Canis lupus familiaris: one gene and its partners. The protein of the gene in region 1 interacts with the protein of each later gene in a biochemical or structural test. Links are inferred from orthologs where the notes say so. Each region holds a gene or a part of one and is shown in the gene's direction. Other genes may lie near its edges. The genes, in order: TOPBP1, MDC1, RAD9A, TICRR, E2F1 and RHNO1.

Region 1 (3,500 bases):
CATTCCTAGCACATCTCTCTTACATGGTAAAAGAATGATGATATTTTTGTTAGTATTCTGCCAAAAATCATTGCTTATTATTTATTTGATATAATGGACGGATAAAAAGTCCATTTTTCTAGTAAGTAACCAAGATCCTTTGAGTTTTTAAGTAAATTCACAATTAAAATATTGGAAAATACACCACTTTGACCAGCATGGACTTACAGAGTTAATGAAATGCATTTTACTTAAAACAGTTTTATTTGGGAAACCATCTGAAATATTTTTTTTACCAGTGACATGGTTGAGCTAGATGAGCAATTAGTGTAATTTTTTTTTAAGTGTCAGTTCCCTTTTTTCTAAAAAAATGAGGAAAGCATTAATGATTTCTTTTGTTTGTCATTATTCGTCTAAGTTTTAAACAATCTAGTGTATTAATATGTTAATTTTTCCTTTGTTTTCCCCAGAAAAATATCTAGATATACTGATGTAAACATGGAAGACTTCAAGTGCCCAATTTTTCTTGGTTGCATAATCTGTGTGACTGGGTTGTGTAGCTTAGATAGGAAGGCAGTTCAGCAACTCACAGTTAAGCATGGAGGTCAATATATGGGACAACTGAAAATGAATGAATGTACACACCTCATTGTGCAAGAACCAAAAGGTAAAAACTGTGTTTTCCAAATGGAAAAAAACGGAAAATTTTCTATAGCATTTAAAATTAAAAATCTTTACAGAATAGGTTTTTTATCTGATATGTTATAAATCTGGTAATTTTTGCTCCCTTAAAGTCTTAAAAAGATAGTTTGGGTCACAATCTTTAGAAAAATTACATGACTATCCAGGTTTGCCCAGGTCTCTGAAAAGTATTTTTTTCTGTTTCCAGTGGTTTTTATTGTTTGATATGTTTTTTGTAAGGAAAAAAGTTTCCTATATAATTACCAAAAACAAAACAAGAAATTTGGATGAATAACACAAAGGCTAATAGATGTAGCTAAATTACATATCTTTCTAATGATAAGTTTAAAAGGCTTGGCTTAAAAAAAAAAAGGCTTGGCTTAGTTTTTAATCAGCTTTATTGAATGAATTACAAGTTGTAACTTGAAGATACGCCTTGCCAACATGAGGCAGGTAAAGAAAAAAAATAACACTACCAATAAAAATTCCTTAAAATTGTGTTTAATTTTGGTGTCCTGTGACCTTTATATCTATTTTGGAAGTGGTGTTTTGGGTTTGTGTTTTGTTTTGTTTTTTTACACCAATACCCTTAAAATATATACAAATTGATGTAAGAATTTTGTTAATGTTTTTGTTCTCTTTATAGTGTTTTATTAAGCTACCTGGATAACAAAATTAGAAAAAAAAAATAAACCCTGCTAAAATTAATTAGTAATTGTCCTTAAATCAAAACTTTTGGGTATGGCCAATTGTGACATTATAATTGTGAGTGGAGTTGGTAACTACTGTTGAATTTCTAAATCTGAAGTCTGTTCATCAACTCTCAATGTCCAAAAAAATCCTTCTTGTGTTGTTGTTTACTACATATTGATCTCAGTTTCTCTAGGACACTCTTTCAAAATACATTGTGTTAGAAGTTGTTTAAGGCAATAAAGATATATTTCTTATATACCTATTTATTTTGACTTCAGGTTGAATCCTATTGACATTGGAGTGGTCTATTCAAAGCTGGTATTTTTTTTATATTACAGACATTTACAATCTTAACAGTTGTTTTAAGTAGTCTTATTAAATCCACATAATTAAAAAAATAAAATATAAAATAAAAATAAATAAATAAAGCCATATAATTCTGTGAGTTATTCCCATGTTATAGATTAAGAAATTGGTTTAAAGAAATTAAGCAGTGGAGGCTATACTCAAACTAAGTCTAATATTTCAATTATCCCACATAAATTATGCAATCTTAAAAGATACCCCCACACATACACTGTATAGCCTACTGTTTGTGTAAGATTAATTACTGGTAACTTTAATTTTGTTGATTTTTTTTTTTCCCCATTACCTATCATGCTTCGAATATTTCTAGAGATAGAATTTAATGTTTTACATTTCTGTTTCCTAATGAACATGATAGGTCAAAAATATGAATGTGCCAAGAGATGGAATGTACACTGTGTGACCACACAGTGGTTTTTTGACAGTGTTGACAAAGGTTTTTGTCAGGATGAATCCATATACAAGACAGAGCCTAGACCAGAAACAAAGACTATGCCTGATACTTCAACTCCTACTGGCCAGATCCACACAGTTGACAGTAAGTTTCAGTGGGATTAAAGTAGACATTTTTAACCACCATTTTCTGTGTTAGAATTGATTTGTAAATAGAATCAGTGAGATATAGTAGGGAATTCCATCCTTTCTTGCTCTGCTTCCAGGCACAATTGTATAACTAAATTGTATGAAAATTAGTCTAGAACTCCAGGTATTTCCTTTTATAATAGATGAATATTTTCTTTCATACCTTGATTTAATGCAAAAGATGATTAAGGAAATCAAGAGTATTAATAAAGACTTAAAAGAATAAATTTTTCCAAGCCTGACTGGTGGGCAAATGTTAATACATTTTTGCTACAATTGTTATAGACCATCTGCATTCATAGAAAATTGAAAACTATTTCGATTTTGTAGGTGCCACATTGGCAATTTAGCAGGTGTTATACTTTTTTCTTTCCCAGACCCGACAGTCAGCAACTTCAGAATTTTAATGGAAGCAAACCACTATTAAAATGTATTAAGTGTATTTTTATTTGAATAATATACGAACTTTAATTTATTTCAATTTCCTTTGATACTTGACCACCAAGATTTCAATTAAACCATTTAAAGCTTAATTTGGAAATTGTTCACAGCTCTTTGTGTATAAGAAAAATAGTAGGAAAATAGGTAATCGCAATTTTATCTCCATAAATTTCCATATCTTTGATATGTAGGTCGTACTCTTTCAGATGTCAGCCATATTTCCAACATCAATGCAAGTTGCATAAATGAATCAATGTGTAATTCAGTGCTTAATAGCAAAGTGGAGCCTACCCTTGAAAATCTAGAAAATTTGGATGTCAGTGCATTTCAAGCACCTGAAGATTTATTAGATGGTTGTCGGGTATGTCTTGATTATGTTATATATGCAGTGATCCTAGTCTGACTTTGAGGACCCCTCAGAGTTGGGCTTACTCCTTATCCATATAAAATAAGCCTTTCACTCTAGGGGAGCAGATGCAAGCATTAGGCCACATCTGTCCGTAATTGTCATTTATTGTTTGTAAGATGCTAGACTGTGCTAATCAATTCATATATATTGTTAATATGTTGTAAATAATCTCATTTAATTCCCACAAATAACTAAAATGGATATGATGCTGAGGTTTAGCAGATTAAAATTCTTACTCAAATTCACACAAACATTAAGTAGATAGCTATCTACTGCAAATCCTATATTCCTAACCGTTAGACCCTCTGCTTTGTTTAATGACTCTTGGGCTCCTTAACTTTTTAGTGTA
Region 2 (3,974 bases), on another chromosome or scaffold:
GGGAGGACCGAGGAAGGCTCTCTGGCCGCGGCCGACGCCTCGGCGACGACTGTGGCCGGCCCCTCTATCCACCGACGGAGCCAGACTCTGTGGTCGCGGTTCGGAAATCTGCGCGGGAAGTGGGCGGTGCGTGGTGCGGCGGTGCCGCGCTGTGCCTTGGAGCTGCCCAATCGCGGCGCGCCATTCAGTGCGCGCACGGCAGCCTCGGGTGACCGCCTCACTTAACCGATTTCAGGCGCCCAGGAAGACCTGCCCCTTTGAGCTGCTGAGGGGGCGGGGCGGGGCGGGGCGGGGCGGGGCGGGACCTTGGCGGCGCCCCCCGGTTGGGCGCTTCCTCAGTCGTCGGTCGTGAGAGACAGCAGCAGAAGCCAATCAAAGGGCCGGCGCCCTCTCGGCGCGAGCTCCCGCGCGCCGGGTCGCGGCCGTTACTGGCGGCGCGCGGGGACTCGCAGTGGGTGAGTTCTGGGGGCCGCGCCCACCGCTCGCGGGAGCCATCTTGATCCTCCCGTAGGGCGGGAGGGGCGTGCCCTGCCGCGCCGGGGCGGACGGCACTTGCCGGTTGGTTTCTCGGATTGTAGTATTCAGCCTTACTTGACGCCCCGCCCCGAGGTTAGGTATGAAGATGGGGAGACGTGGGGCCCGGCGGGAAGCCCCTGGGGTGGAGATGAAAGATGGTGGCGCCCCGGATGGAGCCGCGGGGCCTGGGCTCCCGTTGAGTTCCTGCCTGCGGGACGGAGTCAGCTCTCCCCGGGGACGACGCCTGCTTTCCCTGTCAGCAGTTAGTCTCTAAGGGAATTCCACCCTCACCGTTTTGAGTTTTCATCACCTTTCATTTGTCCTTTCGCAGGACGGTGGGGTTAATTTTGTTTGTTTTGTGACTGTATTCCGAGCTCCTTGAACAGTTCCAGGTGCTCAGTAGGTATTCTTGAATGAATATGATGTGACCTAGGGGAAGAGACACAGTTTGCGAAGGCAGAAATGGAAAGTAATGGTTGCAATATGGTGAGAAGTGTTAGGGGAAATAAAAGTTCTCCGACCACGGGGGGCATGTGGGGACACCAAGAACAGAAAGCAAGGACGCCTCCAGGAAAGGCCTTACTGAGGAGGCGACATTTGGACTGAACCATAAATCATGGGTAGGAGTTGGACCAGAAAACTAGGAGCTAAGGGCCAAGGAACTGACCAAGGCATGCAGGTATGGGGAACCACAGGAGCAGTGTGTTCAGTTTGGGGAGAGCAGGTCCATGTGGCTGAACCATAGGCTTTGGCAGAGGGAAGCAGGCCCTGAGGTGCAGATCATGGAGGATCTTGCTAAAGAGTTGAGATTTTATTTCATCCTGTGGGCATGGAAAGCCATGAAGTATTAAACAGAGGACAGAAAATACCTTGTTTACCTTGGGCAAGTTCCTTAACCCGCCTATGTTGCAGTTGCTTAGTCTGATAGAGTAATAATAATAGTTTAAAACATTTTTATGAGGATTAAGTGAGTGTCAGTATAAACTAGAGTAATGCTTCATACAGAACAAGCCTCTATGTACCTCGGTTGTTAGGATTCTCGGCAGTTAGTTGATCACATTGAGATGTTCTGCTAAAGTATAAAAAGCATGCGGTTTGCCTCCAGAAGCACATTTGTTCCTATCCTTTCCACCTACCTGCTATGTTACCCTAAGCAAGTCATTTAATGTTTTAGCCTTAATTTTTGAGGTTTTATTTATTTATTCATGAGAGACAGAGAGAGGCAGAGACATAGGCAGAGGGAGAAGTAGGCTCCATTCAAGGAGACCGACGTGGGACTTGATCCCTGAACTGGGATCATGCCCTGAGCTGAAGGCAGACGCGCAATTGCTGAGCTACCCAGGTGTCCCTTAGCCTTACTTTTTTAAATGCCTGCCTCATATGTCCATGGTGCCTAACACATAACACAATGCTGAGCACATAGTTGATGCTTGGCAAAGTTTAGCTCTCTCTAAAATATTTTTTTCAGGCTGTGGGTTCCAAACCAGTAAGTGGATGGTGAAATCAATTTAGCAGGTTGCAGATCAGCATTTAAACAATAGTGGATGGGAAAAAAAAAATGAAAACTATCAGTATATCATATACCATAAGGCTAAGCATTGTTTTTTCTCAGAATGTTTGTCTCTTTATACATAAGCACATGCATTTGTAGTATGTGTACTTGGGATCTCATACTGTTTATTCCCACCCCCGTAATATTTATTTATTATTATAGACACAAATGTTTTTTAAATAGTTCAGAAGGATAATAACAGGTTGGTTGTCAGAAGGAGACATGTCGGGACACCTGGGTGGCTAAGCAGTTGAGCCCCTGCCTTCCACCCAGGTCGTGATCCTGGGGTCCCGGGATGGAGTCCCACATTTTATTTTGGGATTTTATTTATTTATTCATGAGAGACACAGAGAGAGGCAGAAGGAGAAGCAGGCTGCCTGCAGGGAGCCCGATGTGGGATGGGATCCTGGGACCCCAGAATCACCACCTGGGCCGAAGGCAGGCACCCAACCACTGAGCCATCCAGGTGTCCCAATAAATAAAATCTTAAAAAAAAGATAGGAGACATGTCAATCTCCTATAACTCTCCAGGGTTATCTCCAGTTATCAGCCTCCTCTCTGAGACTGCCCGAGGACCTGAGATGATAATGTGTTTACTTCCCAGGTCATGGAGGACACCCAGGCTATCAACTGGGAGATTGAAGAAGAGGAGGAGACAGAGAGACCCAGTGAAGCCTTGGGGCGTGGCTTAGAGCCTGTAGGGCGGTTGCATATCTTCAGTAGTGCCCATGGACCAGAAAAAGGTCAGTTTCTTGGATGATAAAGTACTGGTATAGGCCTCTTATTTTTATGGGGAGGTAGTTGGACGGTTGTAAGCATCTTTTATATGTCTCGAGGAGATCTGAGTTTTTCACTGGGAATGCAGAGGAGGGGCTGATTGAGTTGATTGCTCCTGGCAAGTACCCTGGACTCAATGGGCTCAATTTTACTTTGGTAGGAGAAGATGAAGAGATTCAGATGGAAATCCAGCATGGTCTGGAAATGAATGGTGGTGATGGTTGCACAACAATGTGACTGTACTTAATGCTACTAAACTGTACACTTAAAAATGGTTAAATGGTAAATTTTATGTATATTTTACTGCAGTAGAAAAAATCCAGTGTGGATGGATGGGGTATTGACAATGAATAATGCATTGCTTATATTCTTCAATACTTATACGTCCTACCGTCTTTTATTTTTCTTATGTGTGTGGGGACTTTGAGTTAGTAGTGGGGTACTTACTTAACAGGAATATTTTCCCGATAGCAGGCCAAGACTCAGGCCTTAACCTATCTATCTCTCTAATTCTTAGATTTTCCCCTGTATCTTGGGAAGAATATGGTAGGCCGAATGCCTGATTGCTCTGTGACCCTGCCCTTTTCATCCATCTCCAAACAACATGCAGTCATTGAAATCTTGGCCTGGGACAAGGCACCTGTCCTCCAAGATTGTGGCAGCCTCAATGGTACTCAAGTCCTAAGGCCTCCTAAGGTCCTAAGCCCAGGGGTGAGTCATCGGCTGAGGGACCAGGAGTTGATTCTCTTTGCTGACTTGCCCTGCCAGTACCATCGCCTGAATGTCCCCCTGCCCTTTGTTTCCCGGGGCCCTCTAACTGTAGAAGAGACACCCAGGGTACAGGGAGGAACTCAACCCCAGGGGCTCCTGTTGGCTGAGGACTCGGAGGAGGAAGTAGGTATGTTTGTATATTGGGAGGGTGGGTGAGAAGATGGGGATGGTGAGTATAGAACAGTCAACTAACTTAATTCCTTTTTACTCTTAGATTCTCCTTCTGAAAGGTGTGTGGTGAAAGAACCAAGGACCTCCCCTTTGGCAGCAGTAGTTCCAGAGAGGTAAGTGCCAAAGGGCCAGACACTTACATCTTTAAAAGGAGGAGGAACCAGGGACTGTAGAATCTATCTGCAAG
Region 3 (4,204 bases), on another chromosome or scaffold:
TGTGATGGGCAGTGGGGGCTGGTGAACAAAAGGCCTGTCTGAGGACCAGCAACTAAAGCTGTGCCCTAGGAAGAGAAGGAGCCAGCAGGGGGAACGTCCGTCAGGAGGACGTTTTAGGAAGATCGCTTTGGTGCCATTTGGAGAGCGGACTGCAGAAGACAGGAGGCAAGAGACCATTCAGCTCCTACAGTCGTTCAGGTGAGAGAGGATGGTGGCCCGAGCCAGGATGATGGCTGTGGAGATGGAAGAGTGTGCCATCTCTTTGGAAGGTGGGACAGTCAGGGCTTATACAAGGACTACAATACCTGGGGTGATGGAGAGGGTCTAGGCTGACTCCCAGTGTAAATGCCTGGGTTGAGGGGGGACCATTTACACTGACCCCCATGGAAGGCAAGAATAGCCTCACCCAGTGCTCTAGAGAAGTCTGGTGATGGCACGGACACTGAGGCACGGGGGGCGGGGTCCGGAATCACAGGCCAGGAGCTGGAGGGCAAACGGCTGGTAGACAAACACCACTCCTCACTGCAGACAATACCAGAAGGGCAGGGCCAAGCAGGTCCTAAGAAATGTGGGGATGCCCAGGGCCCTGAAAGGCCCTACAGAACCTGGATGCTGTGGGGGCTTGAGTTCAGGAAATCCCTTAGGGACTTCCCTTCCACTTTGCAGACTTGGAGCCCAGAGCCCAGGGCGAGGGGGAAAATTCCCTGACGAACCGCCCCCTTCTGCACAGTCCTGGAGGCTTTTTAAAAATGACCCCATAAACGTGACTCTTCCCTCTTATAACGTTTCCAGCGCTTCCCACTGGTGTCCCCCACCATTTGGCAGCCTTCATCCCTCTGCAAGGCTCACAGGCCAGTTCCCTCCACGAGGGCCAAAGCCCACGCACCAATGCCCTTTCCTCCCGCTCCCCCTGCTAGGTACACCCTTCTACTCCTTTGAGCCCCCAGAATCTTCCGTTCTCCAAGGGTCAATGACGGATCCTCGAAGCCACAACGAACAGCCACTCTCCCACGCTGGAGTCCTGCAGGAAACTGCTTTCATCTCGTTAGAGCTGGTGGCTGCTGCCTGCGTCCCCGGGACGCTCCAGCTCGACCCCACGTCCAGACAGGCGCCCAGGAAGACCGGTACGAAGCGGCCCAGGAGGGCTCGCCCGCACACGTGCTCGCTGCCTCGCGCCGGGGACTTCGTGCTCTTGGTGTCCAGGTGCGCAGCCGCCGAGGCCCCGCCACGCCGGCCGGCGCCCCGCGCTCCCGGCTCCGGTGACCGCCGCCCGCCCCTCACCGGGGACCCCGTCACGTGACGGCGGAGCAGCCGGACGTTTTCTCACGTGACGGAGGCGCCGGCGTGTGGACCAATGAGAAGGCGGGGGCGGGGCTTCCGAGGGGCGGTGCGCGGGAAGGGAACGCCGGGCCGCTCGGCGGCGGCTGGTGAGACCCGGACCCGAGCCGCGGGCGGGGTGGGCAGGGCCCGGCGCGGACCAGCCGCCAGACCCAGCCCGGTCGGAGGCCAGGCCCGACCTCGGCGCTGGGGGCAGCATGAAGTGTCTGGTCACCGGCGGCAACGTGAAGGGTGAGTTCGGGGCCCCCGGGGGCGGGGGCACGTGGGACCGCGGGAGACGCCAGCCTAACCCGTTTCTCTTCTCTTCCCCGCAGTGCTCGGCAAGGCCGTCCATTCCCTGTCCCGCATCGGGGACGAGCTCTACCTGGAGCCCCTGGAGGACGGGGTGAGGGGGGTCACAATCGGGAGCCAGCTTCACCTCGTGTCAGGCTAGATGCCCTTGGGCAGAATTGTCTGCCAAGGTTGCTCCCCCCCCCCCCACCGTTGTTGGGGTGTCAGGTTGGGTCCTGTCATCTTCCCAGGCCGGTGTGTGGATCGAGAGCCATTGCCCTCCCCGAAGTGCCTTGTGTGTGTTTGGGGGGGGGGGGGCGGGTAACTAGGGAAAAAAGGCAGTGTGTGCTGACGGTTGTGTAGGGCCCTTGCCACCAGGGACTCAGGGAAGGCTTCATGGAGAAGGCAGTCGCTGACTGGAAGGAGAGGGAGGATTTCAACAGGTGACGGTGGAGGAGGAGGACATTAGGACAGGTGTGAGCAGAAGCCAGACAGAGGACAGAGCCTGTTTCTGCCCCCTGACCGCATCCCTCTCCCTGCTCTTCCTGGCCCAGCTCTCTCTTCGGACGGTGAACTCCTCTCGCTCTGCCTATGCCTGCTTCCTCTTTGCCCCACTCTTCTTCCAGCAGTACCAGGCCACCACCTCTGGTCAGGAAGCCCTGCGCTGTAAGATCTTGATGAAGGTGAGGTGTTCCCCCCCCCCCAACCAGGAATGGGTCCACCCTGGGGCATTCAGAAGATCCTGACTGGGGAGGGGGGTGTATGCAGGAGCAAACCAATGTAAAATGCATTGAGGTGTACAGTAGAGACACCACAGAGGGTAATGGGAGCTGGGGAGAGGGTAATAGATCCTTCCAGGGACCTGGAGAGAGTGGTGATATTGAAAAGTAAGCAGATCTTTCAAGACATCCCAGACAGGTGTGATAGCATGAACAGAGAAAGGCCTGGAAAAGCATAAGTGTTCTGCATGTTGTGGGAGCTCCCTCTCTAGTGTGACAGTGCTGAGCCTGGGATGGCCAGAGCCTACATGGGATGTGGAAGCTGGTTGGTGGAGGCCACTGGGCTGATGGGTTTCCCTTGCACAGTCGTTCCTGGCTGTCTTCCGCTCGCTGGCAACGGTGGAGAAGACTGTGGAGAAATGCTGCATCTCACTGAATGGCAGGAGCAGCCGCCTGGTGGTCCAGCTACACTGCAAATACGGTGAGGGGGCAGCTGACTGGCCGAGGAATCCCTGGGGTGGAGGGGTGGAGGTTAGCAAAACCCACTGAGACCCCATCTGCCCATCCAGGGGTGAGGAAGACTCACAACCTGTCCTTCCAGGACTGCGAGTCCCTGCAGGCCGTCTTCGACCCAGCCTTGTGCCCCCATGTACTCCGTGCCCCAGCACGGTGAGTGTGTCCCTCTGGATACAGACTGAATGTGGGTCTTTTTTTATTTTTTGGAGCTTCAAGGGTCAATTTGAGAAGACACCTTCTTCATTTTCTCTACAGAGTTTCTGTGAACCTCAAAAAATTAGTCCAGATCAGTTTGCTCTCAGGTCTGGCTCTTTAAGGGCAGAGGCTGGAATAGAGGAGGGCATTGCTCTGTGCTCCTCACTGTGTCCAGGAACCTGCATTCTCCACCCTAAAGATCTGGCTTGGCTTTCTGGCCACTTGGACCCCTTCTGACTCCCCTTTTAGGAAGCAGGTCTCTTGCTTGCCCTTAAGTCCCCTTCCTTGGGCTTCAGGAGCCTTGAATGTCCATCTTTCACTTTCTGGCTCAGGGGCTCCAAATTCTTCTCTGGAGTAGTCATCTTTCTGGGAGTGTTCTCTATTCAAGGGCAGCCTCTCTTCCCATCTACTTGGGCTGGAGCTTTGAGAAGTCCACAGGCCAAGGAAGGAGGCTGGACAGGGAGGCCATGCTCCAGGAGGGCAACCTGGATCAGCAGCTGTGGGGGTATGGCTGTCCTGGGAAAATCAGAGCACACCTAAGGGCTATGCAGGGCCTGGGAGATGGAGTCTACAGAGGAGGCAAAGGTTCCTGCAGAAGACCAATGTAGAGAGGGATGGCTCCCCTCCCACCCCATGCTGGATGCTGCTTGCATCCGAGTAACCCAAGGTAATGTTCATTTCTTTTTGTAGCCATAGGGTATGATAATTTGAAGTTTCCTTCGGGTCCTGAGTCTGTTTTTCTGAGTTCTGTTGAGATAATGCTGCTTAGGACTCCTTTGGGTAGAGAAAGAGAAAAGGATATCACCTCTGGTCTGGATTTTGGAGCTTTATTATTATTTTTTTTTAATGAGCAATTGTTTTTCTTCTTTCTTTGTTTTTCTTCAAATATGTATAAAAGTGGATGTCTGCTCCCATCTGCTCCGGTTCCAATTGTCTTGAGACAAATTCCAATTGTTACTTCATATGTAAATATTTGTCAACATGTATTCCTAGAAGACAGAGATTTAAGGCCTTTTTCCTGAAGGCTGAATTTCTAGGGATGGCCTGGGTGTGGTTTCCCACCCCTGGGTGGGCAGGTGCTGCTTGCCTGGTTTGGCCCAGTGCAAACATTCCATGCTTTCTGTTGCCTCCTCTGGGCTGTGCTCTTGTCTGCCCCATCCCTTGCA
Region 4 (3,929 bases), on another chromosome or scaffold:
AGTATATTCCCCGCTACTATAAAAGTAACAAGGAAATACAAAATTATAGACAATTTAGGAAAGAGTAATATAATTTTAAAAAGTAAATCAGCATAATGTCATCACCCAGAAACCATGACAGACAACTTTCTGTACAGTTTTATCTTAACAGTTTAAAAATATACACATAGGGATGCCTAGGTGGTTCAGCGGTTGAACATCTGCCTTCTGCTCAGGGCATGATCCTGGGGTCTTGGGATCCAGTCCCCCATGGGGGCTCCCTTCGAGAAGTCTGCTTCTCCCTCTGTTCGTGTCTCTGCCTCTCTCTGTGCCTCTTATGAATAAATTAATAAAATCTTTAAAAAATAATAAAAATATTCACATAGAAAATCCAGGGTTCTCACTGCATGCAGTTTGGTAGTCCTTTTTTTTTTTTTTTTTTAAATCTACTATTACATATAAAAAGCTACAGGATGTTCCTTCCCTTTAGGGTGTACCATGCATTAACCATTGCCAGTTCCCATTTGAGCTGTTTTCCAATTTTTCTCAAGTTAGCTGACTCTGATAAACATACGTCTTTCATTTGTATCTAATTATCTTCTTCAGAGAAACTCCTTGAAATCATTGGGACAAAGGAAATGAACTTGTTAAGACTTTTTTCTTAAATCACAGAAAACGGAAGTCTTTATCATCAGATTCTACTCCATAGAAAGCCTGGGGTGGCTTCATCCCAGTCTGAATCAGACCTTCTCCATCCAATTCCCTCCCACTACCAAGTTTGCAAACTTAGTAAACTCCTCCCAGCAGCCCGCACCCGCGCCTGCGCACAATCGCCCAAACGCCGGCCTCCAGCCCAAAAGGGAAACTTAAGGACACGCCCCCGAAGCACAACCTCTTTAAATTTTAAAACGAAGGCCTCAGCCAATGAATGTGAAGTTTCTCCCGGAACACGGGGCCCCGCTCACGGCCACGCCCTCCGCCAATTAGGCAGAGGGCTTCTCCGTCTCCCTTCCAATCAGCGCCCAGGATGGAAGTTACTCACGTAAGGTACGTAAGGCAAGCGACCAATAGGAGCTGATTTTGGGGGAGGGCTCCGCCAATGGCAGGAGCACTCGGAGAGCGCGGGAGCTTTTCCACCGCAGCTCCTGAGGGAAGCGGTGAATGGCGCTGGTTCTCTGAAGCGAGGCCCGCGGCTGGAGCTCCGGGGCTGCGGCGCGGGCGCCATGGCCTGCTGTCACAACGTGATGCTGCTGCTGGACACCGCGGGCGGTGCCGCCGGCCGGAGCTCAGTCCGGCGGGCAGCCCTGCGCCTCCTCACCTACCTGAGTTGCCGGTTCGGCCTGGCCAGGGTCCGCTGGGCCTTCAAGTTCTTCGACTCTCAGGGGGCGCGGGGCCGGCAGTCCCGCGTGTCTGACTTCCGTGAACTGGGGGCCCGCTCCTGGGAGGACTTCGAGGAGGAGCTGGACGCCAGGCTCGGGGCCGGCGCCCACGGCGCCCACCTGCCGGGCCCCGCGCCCAGGGCCAGCCACACGCACGGCGCCCTGATGGAGACGCTGCTGGACTACCAGTGGGACCGGCCCGAGATCACGTCGCCCACGAAGCCGATCCTTCGCAGCAGCGGGAGGAGACTGCTGGACGTGGAGGGCGAGGCCAGGGAGGCCGAGGCTGCGCTCGGGGGCTTCGTGAACGCGGTCTTCCTGCTGGCTCCCTGTCCGCATTCGCAGAGGGAGCTGCTGCAGTTCGTGTCCGGCTGCGAGGCCCAGGCCCAGCGCCTGCCGCCTCCCCCGAGGCAGGTGATGGAGAAGCTGCTGCCCAAGAGAGTCCAGGAAGTCATGATCGCCCGAAAAATCACCTTGTACTGGCTGGATACCACCGAGTGGCCTAAGGTAAGTTCGCGGTGAGCTCTGACTTGGCGCGCGGTGTCCTGCTGGCTGACCGGGACCTGGCGGTGTCTCCGCAGAGGCGGGGAGACCCAGAACGAGACTAGCACGACCAGCATGTGTCTCCTTCAGAAGGAGAGTCCTGTGATTACGAACTGGGACGATAGGTAAGTAGATCCTTGGTACATCCTAAGGTCAGCATTTAAGGTCCTTCATAATTTGGGTCCTGTCTGCCTTCCCCGGTTCTACTTTTCCTACGAATCCTCCAGCATATTATTATTATTATTATTATTTGGGTCCTGTCTGCCTTCCCCGGTTCTACTTTTCCTACGAATCCTCCAGCATATTATTATTATTATTATTATTATTGTTGTTGTTATTATTATTTTAAGATTGTATTCATGAGAGAGAGAGAAAGAGAGAAAAAAGCAGGCTCCATGCAGGGAGCCCGAAGGAGGATTCGATCCCGGGACTCCAGGATCACGCCCTGGGCTGAAGGCAGGTGCTAAACCGCTGAGCCACCCAGGGATTCCCCCTCCAGCATATTATTGAAGCATCCTCTAGTCGTTCAACAAATCTTGACTGCTTGTTCTGTCTTACCAGTCACCCTGAATGCCAGCGCTCACTCTGCTATGCCTGTTTAAACTCCTCTCTAGCCTTGCCCCGTGGCAACTACTCAGCCTCAACTGAATTTCCATGCACTTTTGTGGCACCTACCCTTTCCGGGTTATAGGTTCCAATTGTGCAAATCGCCTTTCATTTAGTCTAAAATACCTCAAAGGCAGGTACACACACACACCTTTGTATTCCCTGCAGATGCATGTCGCTGAACATTGTAAGTGGAATGAATTTGGGTACTTACAATGGTAAATGGCTCATTTGGATCTTTATTGAGCCAGTAGGACCTCTGCTTCCGTTAAATACACAGAGATAAATATGTACTTTTACCCTTAGCATTTTCCTTCTGTCATCTTCATTTAGTGAACAAATAGTCATTGAGAGGGACGCCTGGGTGGCTCAGTGGTTGAGTGTCTGCCTTCAGCTCAGGTGGTGATCCTGGGGTCCTGGGCTCGAGTGCCAAATGGGGCTACTTGCAGGGAGCCTGCTTCTCCCTCTGCCTATGTCTCTGCCTCTCTCTGTATCTCTCAAGTATAAATAAATAAAATCTTAGAAAAAAAAATCATTGAGAAGCCATTACATCCAGTGCCCACTATACTGTTAGAGCTGTGGAGGGGTGTGGTGGTCAGCTGAGGTGGTTTACCTTCTAGTGAGGAAGATACATTAAACAGATAAGAATAAACAGGTGAGCAGGAAAAGGTAGAAGGGTGGGGGACTGTTGTATAAAGGGTCGGGAGTGCTCTATGAGCAGAGGAGGTGACAGAGGAGGAACAGGAAGGTTGGGAAAGAACATTCCAGGCAAAGAGCAGGTATAAAAATTTGAACTGGAAATAAGCTTAGTTTGTTTCAGAAAGCACATGTCCTTTTCTAGACAGTAAAAGTGCGCAGTTTCTTCTAATTGCTGGGCAGTGGCTTAACCAGGTCAAATAAGTGGGCATGTGTTTCCACTTATTGGAAACACATGTCATTAAACTAGGAGTGGGTTAAATTGCAAGATTACAAATGGAAAATGAGCAGGTACCTAAAGAATGATAATACAATGTTAAAATTTCCAACATGCTTTCACACACAAAGCTCAAAAAAGACATCGTAAATCCAAAATAAGGCAGCAGTGGCTTGTCAAAGAAAAAGAACAAAGGTCTTCAAGGTGATTGTAAACATTTGAGAAAATGGAATTCTAGAACTTAAAATTTGTTAAGGCAACAAATCAAGTTTTGGACATAGTACACAAGACCTAACTGCTTGATTTGGGATAACTGACACCAAGTCACACCAAAAACTTTATTCTGGAATTATATCAGAAACTGGCTAGAAATAAATCTTAGCAGATGGGGCTTGGAGATTTTTCTCCTTTTTCTCTTTTTGGAATAGCATTGCAATAAATAGATTGACCGAATCTTTTTAAAGATCTCTTTCAGTTCTCACATTCTACCATCTGAGGGAATGGGTCCT
Region 5 (3,500 bases), on another chromosome or scaffold:
TTCACCTCTGCCTTTTTAGGTTCCTGTGCCAAGCTCTAGAGTGTGGTGGCTGAAATGGAGACCTGCTTGAGCCCTTGCTTTAGGGTGTGGCATTGACCTGTCATCACGGTGGGCATGGGCCTGAGGAGCAGGGAGATGAGGGGTGCAATTGGCAGGAGGATGCTAGGTTCAGGCCTAAGGGGTAAGGCCGGAGAGGAGACACACATGGCTTTTGGGGGCTGGTCTCTGGACGAAGCTGCAGGGAAGCAGGACACGTAGTAGGTAGGAATATGGGCTCTGGGTCAGCCCATTAGGGCTCACATCCTGGCCCTATCTCTCATTGTCAGGCCTCTTGGAAAGTAGAGGTCATCATGGCATCTGTTGCAAGGTCTGGGCAGAGGGTTTGATGACTGGATGCAGGTAAAGCCATTATTTAGCAGGGCTCGGTACACAAGAGACACTCGACATGTGTGAGCACTTCTATCCCCGGGGCACCTGAGGGCATCCATGAGTGTGCGATGAGAGTGAGGGCTCGTTGGCACGTGCAGAGGTTCACACAGCAGACGGGAGTTAACACCAGGCCCTGCGAACAGTGATGATTCCATAATTCCGGTCCAGCGCCTGCCTCGGGGCACTGCCTTCTGGGTGAGACAAATACATCTCCAGAAGTTGGTTGCAAGAGATATTGTGGGGAAAGGTCAGGTTTGAGGCATTTTGGCCTGGTCTCTTGCAGGATGAGAAGACCTAAGTAAGGAGTAAGGTGCCTTCCCGCAGAGGTGTAAGAGTTGGTGTGAAGGCAGGTGGGGCATTCATGGGAGGGAAACGGCTCAGGCTAACACTTGGAGGCACAAGTTTGTGAGAAAACACGTCTGAGCAGAAGTTTACGTGGAGAAGTGGCAGAGGAGGGCACTAGGGTGGAGAAGGATAGGTGGAGGCAGGGAGTTGGCTGAGTGGTCCAAATGGGAGGAGATAGTGGCTGTGGCGAGAGGTTTCTCAAAGGCTACCAGATGGCTGCCCAGTGAGGGTCTAGCTTGGGAAACCCCGTGGGTGGGGGAGGACTGGGGTGGGTCAGGATGGGCCTGAGATGCCTGAGATATTCTGGGGCAGTCTCCATCCTCCCGTGTGTGTGACTAAGAGGGTGTTCTGGACAGGAATCCTGGCTTGGCTGCTTCCTGGCTGTCTGACTTGGGCCTCTCTGGGCTTCAGTTACTTTATCCATAAAGTGGAGCCATTATTGTGCTGCTAGTCCATAGGACGGAATGAACTAACGTGCAAAACGTGGTGAGTACTAGCTGCCACCATGTTCACAGAATCCAGAGAGAGAAGGTAACTTGCCCAAGGGACCTGTATCCTAATGGCTTAAAACAACAAGTCCTTAATACAGCACTGTGTGTTAATATACTGGCATTGAAATTAAAAACAATAAAAAAGGGTAGCCCCCGTGGCGTCAGCGGTTTAGCGCCGCCTGCAGCCCAGGGCGTGATCCTGGAGACCTGGGATCGAGTCCCATGTCAGGCTCCCTGCATGGAGCCTGCTTCTTCCTCTGCCTGTGTCTCTGCCTCTCTCTCGCTCTGTATCTCTCATGAGTAAATAAAATAAAATCTTAAAAAAAAAAAATAAACCCCAATAACAAACAATTATTATCACACAGATTTTGGTGGGGCAGGAATTCAGAGGAGACTGCTCAGTGCTTCTGGCGCAGGATCTCTGCTGAGATCGTAAGCCAAAATGTTGGGCGAGGCTGCAGTCATCAGAAGGCGTGACCAGGGTTGAAGGACTTGTTTCTAAGACTGATGTTGCTACTGGACAAGGCCTCAATGCCTTGCCACTCAGGCTTGCGTGACATGGCAGTGGCTCTCCCCAGAGTGAGTGGTCCATTATAGAAAACAAGGAGGAAGCTCCAGTGCAGCTCTGACCCAGTCTGAGAAGTGACTTGTCATCACTTCCATCCTACTGCTCTTGAGAAGCAAGTTACCAGATCTGGTCCATATTTAAGGGGAGGAGAATTAGGCTCTATTTTTTTGTTTTGTTTTGTTTTGTTTTGTTTTGCTTTTTTGAAAGGGAGAGTATCAAATTTGCAGACAGATTTTAAAACTGCCATAGGCACCCAGGGAAATACTGGTGGAGCTAGAACTTAAACTCAGGTCTTCTGCGCCCCATGGTTGACTGATCTGTCCTGTGCGGTAGGACTGTGTCCCCTGGGATCTCCCCATCCCTCATACACATAGGCGACATGATAGAGAAAGTGGGGCAGGGGTGACCCAGGAGCACCAAGCCCAGAGCCCAGTCTTTGTGGCCTCGCTCCTGGTTATTAAATATCATCCCATTGTTTCTGCCACAGGTAAAGCGGAGGTTGGACCTGGAAACTGACCATCAGTACCTGGCTGAGAGCAGTGGGCCAGCCCGGGGCAGAGGCCGCCACCCAGGAAAAGGTACCCACAGAGCTGGGGCTGGGGCAGGCCCCCTGACCGGGCCCAAGTTGGGGGTGTGGACAAACATGCTTGCAGAGTAAACTCTGATCTGTCAGGCCTGGACTGGAGCCAGGCCTCTGGGGGCCCTGAGGGGCAGCTGGAGTGGCTGCCTGGCATGGCTTCCCCAGGCCCTGGGGGGTGGGGAGTTCCCCAGCCAGAAGAGGAATGTCTCGTGGTTGGCAGGCAGCAGCCCCAGGCCCTCATGGTTGGTTTTGCCAAGGGGAAGGAGCCATCTGCCCATCCCACTCCCATCTTTCGGCCCTGTCCTGCACTGCCAGGAAGGCTAGCCCACCTAGGTGTGGGGGTGGTACTGAGGGAACCCTCCTTGCCTGGACCCCTAGGTGTGAAATCCCCAGGGGAGAAGTCACGCTATGAGACCTCACTGAATCTGACCACAAAACGCTTCCTGGAGCTGCTGAGCCGCTCGGCTGATGGCGTTGTTGATCTGAACTGGGCGGCTGAGGTGTTGAAGGTGCAGAAACGGCGCATCTATGACATCACCAACGTCCTCGAGGGCATCCAGCTCATTGCCAAGAAGTCTAAGAACCACATCCAGTGGCTGTAGGTACCAGCCCTTCAGGAGGGCAGGCGGAGGCTAAGGCCTGGGGCCAGGCCAGCATGGAGGAGCTGATAGTGATCCCCACCGTGGCTGTCCGCATCCTCATCGTCTAGCTGGGGAAACTGAGGCTCGGAGGGGGAGGTGGCTTCTCTGAGGAAGTTTCCACAGATTTCACATACGCAGCTCAACGCACCCTCGTGTATTTCTTCGTCTGGGGAGTCACCATCCAGATCAGGATAAAGAACATGTCCGGCACCACAGAAAGTTCCCTGTGCCCTTCCCAGCTGTTGCCCATCCCTCTTAGCTCATCACCTCTTAGGTGATGGCTCTTATGCCCTCTGTCACCCTCAGTAGGATTGTTAATTCTTGTTAATTTTTTTGGAAAGACTTTATTTGACAGAGCACAAGCAGGGGGAGCAGCAGGCAGAGGGAGAGGGAGAAGCAGGCTTCCTGCTGAGCAGGGTGTGGGTCTCCATCTCAGGACCCTGGGA
Region 6 (4,284 bases), on another chromosome or scaffold:
CCACACGTTGCTATCGTAGGGCCTGTCGGGCCTGGTGGGGAAGGCGGCGGGCAGGCGGCCCACGTCCAGCCACGTGTGGAAGCCCCAGGTGTGCTGCGCCGCGTCCTTCTCGGGGCGGAGCAGCCGGCGGCGCACCTCGGCCTTGCGCGCGGTGCAGGGCGGCAGCCTCAGAGCCAGCCGGCGGTAGGCCTGCGGGGTGAAGCCAGGCCACGCCCGGGCCGCACCAGGGAGGAGGAACTCGCGCCGGGCCCGCGTCTGGGACGTCAGGAGGGGCTCGCTGGCCTGGGCCATCTGGGGAGAGACCAGAGGGAGCCTGGGGAGCGCCCTGCCTTCGTCCCGGGAGCAGCTGCGGAGAGGCCAGGCTGCAGGCCCGCTCACACCCCGGCTTCTGGTCGGGACCCTGGTGGCCGGGCCTGGCCACGGCGTCTGCGGGCTGGGCCTGCCGTCAGAAGTCCGGTCTGCTCTGGAGGGTCCCCCTGGGTTTCTCACCTTGTGCTTTCGGATTTCCCACCCTGCTCTCCTCCTCACCGGTCTCCCAGCTCCTCACTTTTCACTTTCGTCCCTCCTCTGCACTCTGGCTGCCTCGGGCTCCTGCCAGGGTGGGGGCTCTGAACAGGGCCCAGGGGGCCCAGGGAAACTGTGAGGGGAAAGGCCCCTTACCGAGCGAGGCGTAGAAGGAAAATCATTCTCCGGAGAATGCAGCCCAGGGGTTCTTCTCTCCCGGACTCGTCCTCTTACTCGTTTCTCTCTCATGGGTGCGTTTCCCTCACTTCTCGTCCAAACACAAGCCAAGTATGGGGAAACATCTAGAAGGCTGGTTTCTTCCCTTTCCTTTGTCCCACCTCCCGTGAAATAAACTGGGCCCGTGCCTATAACTGGGCCCAGGTAGGTATTGGAACTGTGCTAAACACGTCCACAACTCAATTAACCCTCACAATCCTAGGAGCAAGCATTGTTACGGTCTCATCTCAACGATGCAAAAAGCAAGACATGGTGAGAGTCAGGAACTCACCCGAGGTTGCCAGGTCTGTGAGTGGCAGAGCTGGGACTTGAGCCATCTGTCCGTATTACTCATGAGACTATGCTCTTCTTTCCACCTTAGGACCTTATTGACTACAAAAACTCACCTGCCTCTTGGGCCCACTCTGCTGTCATTTCCACGTGACCACCCCAGGAGGTGGGGCTGGGAGATGTAATAACCAGGCATCTCCTTTTCTCTGTTCTGAGCTCTGTGTTCATAGTACCACAGGACTGAGAGACATCTATTGACCCCCTGACCCCAGGGGGGCAGTCCTTAGCCCAGCAGTGTGCAAACAGATAGGCTGTGGAGATAGGGCCCCACCTCCTACCTGCAAGAAAGGTTTTTGGACATGAGGCGGAACACGCCGCCCTCTGGGTTGTCTTGGTGGGCTACTGGCCATTCCACCTGTGGGCCTGATTGTCAGGAGAGGCCGCTTGGTAGGGAAGACTTTCCCTGGCAGCATTGTTTGCTGTTGGGGTTGCTATGGTGATGCTTCCTGGATGGTGACGCAGGAGGAGGCCCTTACCTCTCCCTGGGAGGACTCATCAATCCTTTGGGGCCTGGCTGCCTTTCAGGTGAGACAGGCAGGGGATAGGACTTATGTGTAGATGGTAGCCAGAGGGGTTTTTGGGGAGGGACTTGCCTAGGAGGGCAGGAAGAGAAAAGCAGGGTAGGCTGGCTTCCAGGCCCTGGGTTGGGGTGGACATGATCATGAGGTGCCTATAACTGGGCCCATCTTTCCTTACTCTCCAGAAGGGCAGGGCCCTACCCCTCTGTAGGTCTTTCCCTTATAGGGAGAACCAAAGGGCCAAGTTAACCATTAGGTTCAGTGGTTCTGAAGAGGCTGGCCATGCAGGACCAGCCTGGGAAACCTGCCAGTTTCTGATGTGTGCCTGCATAGGATGTGGGAGGCAGCCCAGGCCAATGCCCTGAGCACTCCCCTTCATGTGCTTTGTGTTGGCTTCAGGCCTTACCAATTCCCTGTCACCACCATCTCCATCTCCCATGTTCTTCCCCAACCCCTCCTTATGCCTCAGGGACCAGACACCAACACACCACAGAGAGCACTTCCACCCTGGATTTTATTGACAGTTATGGTAGTGTTCTCGAGCTGGCTCACATGCATGCGGTCAGCTGGGGCCTCAGGTGGCTCTTAGCAAAGCTGAGGTGTGAGCTAAGGAAGTTAGGCAGGGCAGGGCCCTTTCAGTCTTCTCAAGCCTTGGGCCAAGTTCTTGGCAAATGGCTCGTCTCTCTGGCATGATTAGGGACGTTATCAGAGAAACATCTCAGGGGAGCACATCTGGGCACCTGCATTCTTTGCTTCAGATGCATCCATTCCCCCACCCCCAATTCAACTCTTGACCCTTGACAAAAGACCTTTTTTTGTCAGGATTTCTTCTTGCAGGAAAGCTGACTTGGAAACATGGGAAGGTGGGAAGGGAGGGGGACAATAAGCAGGACCCTAGGAAGCAGATCTGCTTGTCTACAGTAAAGAGCCCTGAAGGCAGGTGCCCTGGGCCTGGAAGAAACCGTACACTGCGCGTCCTCCCTTCTCTAGGAATTGAAAGCAAGGAACAGGAGCAAACAAACCCCTTGTCATCCTACCCACCTTTCTGGCAGTCTCTAGATAATGATCTAAGGAAATAAGCTTACATTTATAATTAGAGGATAATTTGGAGAATATACACTATTTACAAGGGCTGCCCTGCAAGGATCAGGAAAAGTGGGGGACTCCTGGGCACAGGTGTAAGCAGTCCGAGGAGTTCCTAATCTCTTTTCACCCTTGCTTTTGCCATTCCCAACCCTTAGCTCCTAGCAGGGAGAGTGAGGAACCGGATTCTTTTGGGGAGCAGTGGTGGCACAGTGACCGGTCACCAGGACCTTGCTGCTTGCAGAGGGCTCAGTAGTGGCCACGGCATGATGTCCGTCTTGGCATAAGCAGGCAAAGTGGAGCTAGAGGGGCGGACGGTCCCTGCCTGCTGTCCTCGGATGGCCCAGCCACCCGAGATCCTGGAAGCATGGACAGCTCAGGCAGCAAGGGTAAGGTAGGCCTCTACCGTAGCTCAGGAATGAACTGAGCCCAGTTGATGCTGTCCGGGCCCAGAGGGTCCTCCTCCAGGCCAGGAAAGCTGATGTCCAGCAGGATCTTGCTGAGGCTGTCATTCATCGTGTCCAGAACCAGGCCTTCTGTCAGAGAGCGGTTGGCTGAGAGGCTGGCAGCCTCTGGCCCAGGGGAGTCTGGCTTGGGGACTTCCATATCTGAGGGGGAGGAAGTGCTGAAGGGGTCAGAGGTGAGGTCAAAGGGCTCAGAACTGAGGAGCTCTCTGGGCGAGTCAAAGAGGGGAATGCTTTTCAGGGGGGTGGTGCTAAAATCCGTCAGCCCCAGGGCATCAGGCAGGGGGCCGAAGGCAGCCTGGGGGTGGTGTACTGGGCTGAACTCTAGCCCCCCTACTTTGGCTGGGGGTGTGAGCCTCCAGGATTCGGGGGTCGCGGGGAGGACAGATTTGCTTGGAGTGGAAGAGATGGGCAGCGTCTCCTTAATGGGCGTCTTAAAAGGTCCTCCCTCCTCTTGGGAGTAGCCAAGCCGGGAGGCAGGCTCAGAGGACTCTGTGGGCAAAGTAAGCTCGGTGGCTCGCTGGGAAGCCCCGGGGCCCTGGGAGAAGAGCAGCTCGGGCTCCGGCTCATCCAGGCAAGGAGGCAGGAGGTGCTGTTTCCTTCGAGACCGGCTCATCTCCCGCCCCTCCCTCCGTTTAATCACAAGCATTTCTGAGACACACCGGGCTGGGGACTTGAGCCCGCTGTAGGACCTCTTGGGCCTTGGCGTGGGAGAGTGGGAGGAGTCCTCCCAGGAATGAGAGGATTCCTCTTTGATTGACGGGCACGGCGAGGGCCACTCCTCCAAGGGCGGGCTCTCCACTTTGATGGGCCTCCCCAAGTGTAGCGTCTCCTCCCCAGGCTGGGGTTCTTCCTCCTTGATGGACTGAACTGGAAGCAGAGGAGACAGCCCTTCTCCGAGCGGGAGTTTGTCCTCTTGCAGGGGCCCTGTGGCCGGCAGAGGGGCCACCCCCTCCTCAGCTAGTAGCACCTGAAAGGGAAGCAGGGGTGCAGTGAGAGGAAGCTCTCTGGGCCTTAACATTCACCCCACCCACCAGGCGGGACACAAGATCGTGACTAAATCAAGCCATAGGCTGGTACGGATCCTCATTTTCTATCTTTTAAAAGTCTTACAAACTATGAAATACGAGAATATACGATGAAGGTGG

What was found.
Region 2: the proteins of TOPBP1 (region 1) and MDC1 are reported together in a solved structure, tested with the Homo sapiens proteins (3 studies listed by BioGRID, with this or other methods). The link is inferred for Canis lupus familiaris from reciprocal best matches to the Homo sapiens genes TOPBP1 and MDC1.
Region 3: the proteins of TOPBP1 (region 1) and RAD9A form a complex in vitro, tested with the Homo sapiens proteins (4 studies listed by BioGRID). The link is inferred for Canis lupus familiaris from reciprocal best matches to the Homo sapiens genes TOPBP1 and RAD9A.
Region 4: the proteins of TOPBP1 (region 1) and TICRR form a complex in vitro, tested with the Homo sapiens proteins (2 studies listed by BioGRID). The link is inferred for Canis lupus familiaris from reciprocal best matches to the Homo sapiens genes TOPBP1 and TICRR.
Region 5: the proteins of TOPBP1 (region 1) and E2F1 form a complex in vitro, tested with the Homo sapiens proteins (4 studies listed by BioGRID and IntAct). The link is inferred for Canis lupus familiaris from reciprocal best matches to the Homo sapiens genes TOPBP1 and E2F1.
Region 6: the proteins of TOPBP1 (region 1) and RHNO1 form a complex in vitro, tested with the Homo sapiens proteins (2 studies listed by BioGRID). The link is inferred for Canis lupus familiaris from reciprocal best matches to the Homo sapiens genes TOPBP1 and RHNO1.

Annotation. Positions count from the first base shown.
Region 1 is NC_049244.1:31,088,102-31,091,601, reverse strand, and holds part of TOPBP1 (DNA topoisomerase 2-binding protein 1), read left to right. Parts: intron 1-449; coding exon 450-646; intron 647-2,077; coding exon 2,078-2,257; intron 2,258-2,933; coding exon 2,934-3,103; intron 3,104-3,500. UniProt on the Homo sapiens protein: Scaffold protein that acts as a key protein-protein adapter in DNA replication and DNA repair. Composed of multiple BRCT domains, which specifically recognize and bind phosphorylated proteins, bringing proteins together into functional combinations.
Region 2 is NC_049233.1:644,695-648,668, reverse strand, and holds the start of MDC1 (mediator of DNA damage checkpoint protein 1), read left to right. Parts: upstream 1-1,174; 5' UTR 1,175-1,189; coding exon 1,190-1,195; intron 1,196-2,672; coding exon 2,673-2,811; intron 2,812-3,362; coding exon 3,363-3,743; intron 3,744-3,830; coding exon 3,831-3,900; intron 3,901-3,974. UniProt on the Homo sapiens protein: Histone reader protein required for checkpoint-mediated cell cycle arrest in response to DNA damage within both the S phase and G2/M phases of the cell cycle.
Region 3 is NC_049239.1:50,572,299-50,576,502, reverse strand, and holds the start of RAD9A (cell cycle checkpoint control protein RAD9A), read left to right. Parts: upstream 1-1,404; 5' UTR 1,405-1,535; coding exon 1,536-1,569; intron 1,570-1,652; coding exon 1,653-1,723; intron 1,724-2,162; coding exon 2,163-2,291; intron 2,292-2,693; coding exon 2,694-2,808; intron 2,809-2,896; coding exon 2,897-2,996; intron 2,997-4,204. UniProt on the Homo sapiens protein: Component of the 9-1-1 cell-cycle checkpoint response complex that plays a major role in DNA repair. The 9-1-1 complex is recruited to DNA lesion upon damage by the RAD17-replication factor C (RFC) clamp loader complex.
Region 4 is NC_049224.1:53,071,994-53,075,922, forward strand, and holds the start of TICRR (treslin), read left to right. Parts: upstream 1-1,129; 5' UTR 1,130-1,202; coding exon 1,203-1,865; intron 1,866-3,929.
Region 5 is NC_049245.1:23,402,024-23,405,523, reverse strand, and holds part of E2F1 (transcription factor E2F1), read left to right. Parts: intron 1-2,320; coding exon 2,321-2,411; intron 2,412-2,791; coding exon 2,792-3,011; intron 3,012-3,500. UniProt on the Homo sapiens protein: Transcription activator that binds DNA cooperatively with DP proteins through the E2 recognition site, 5'-TTTC[CG]CGC-3' found in the promoter region of a number of genes whose products are involved in cell cycle regulation or in DNA replication.
Region 6 is NC_049248.1:4,136,168-4,140,451, forward strand, and holds the start of RHNO1 (RAD9, HUS1, RAD1-interacting nuclear orphan protein 1), read left to right. Parts: upstream 1-1,484; 5' UTR 1,485-1,596; intron 1,597-2,084; exon of another isoform or gene 2,085-3,074; coding exon of another isoform or gene 3,075-4,106; intron 4,107-4,284. Other genes in the region: TEX52 (testis-expressed protein 52), read right to left, coding at 1-291, 661-769, 1,128-1,207; FOXM1 (forkhead box protein M1), read right to left, coding at 3,075-4,106. UniProt on the Homo sapiens protein: Involved in microhomology-mediated end-joining (MMEJ) DNA repair by promoting recruitment of polymerase theta (POLQ) to DNA damage sites during mitosis.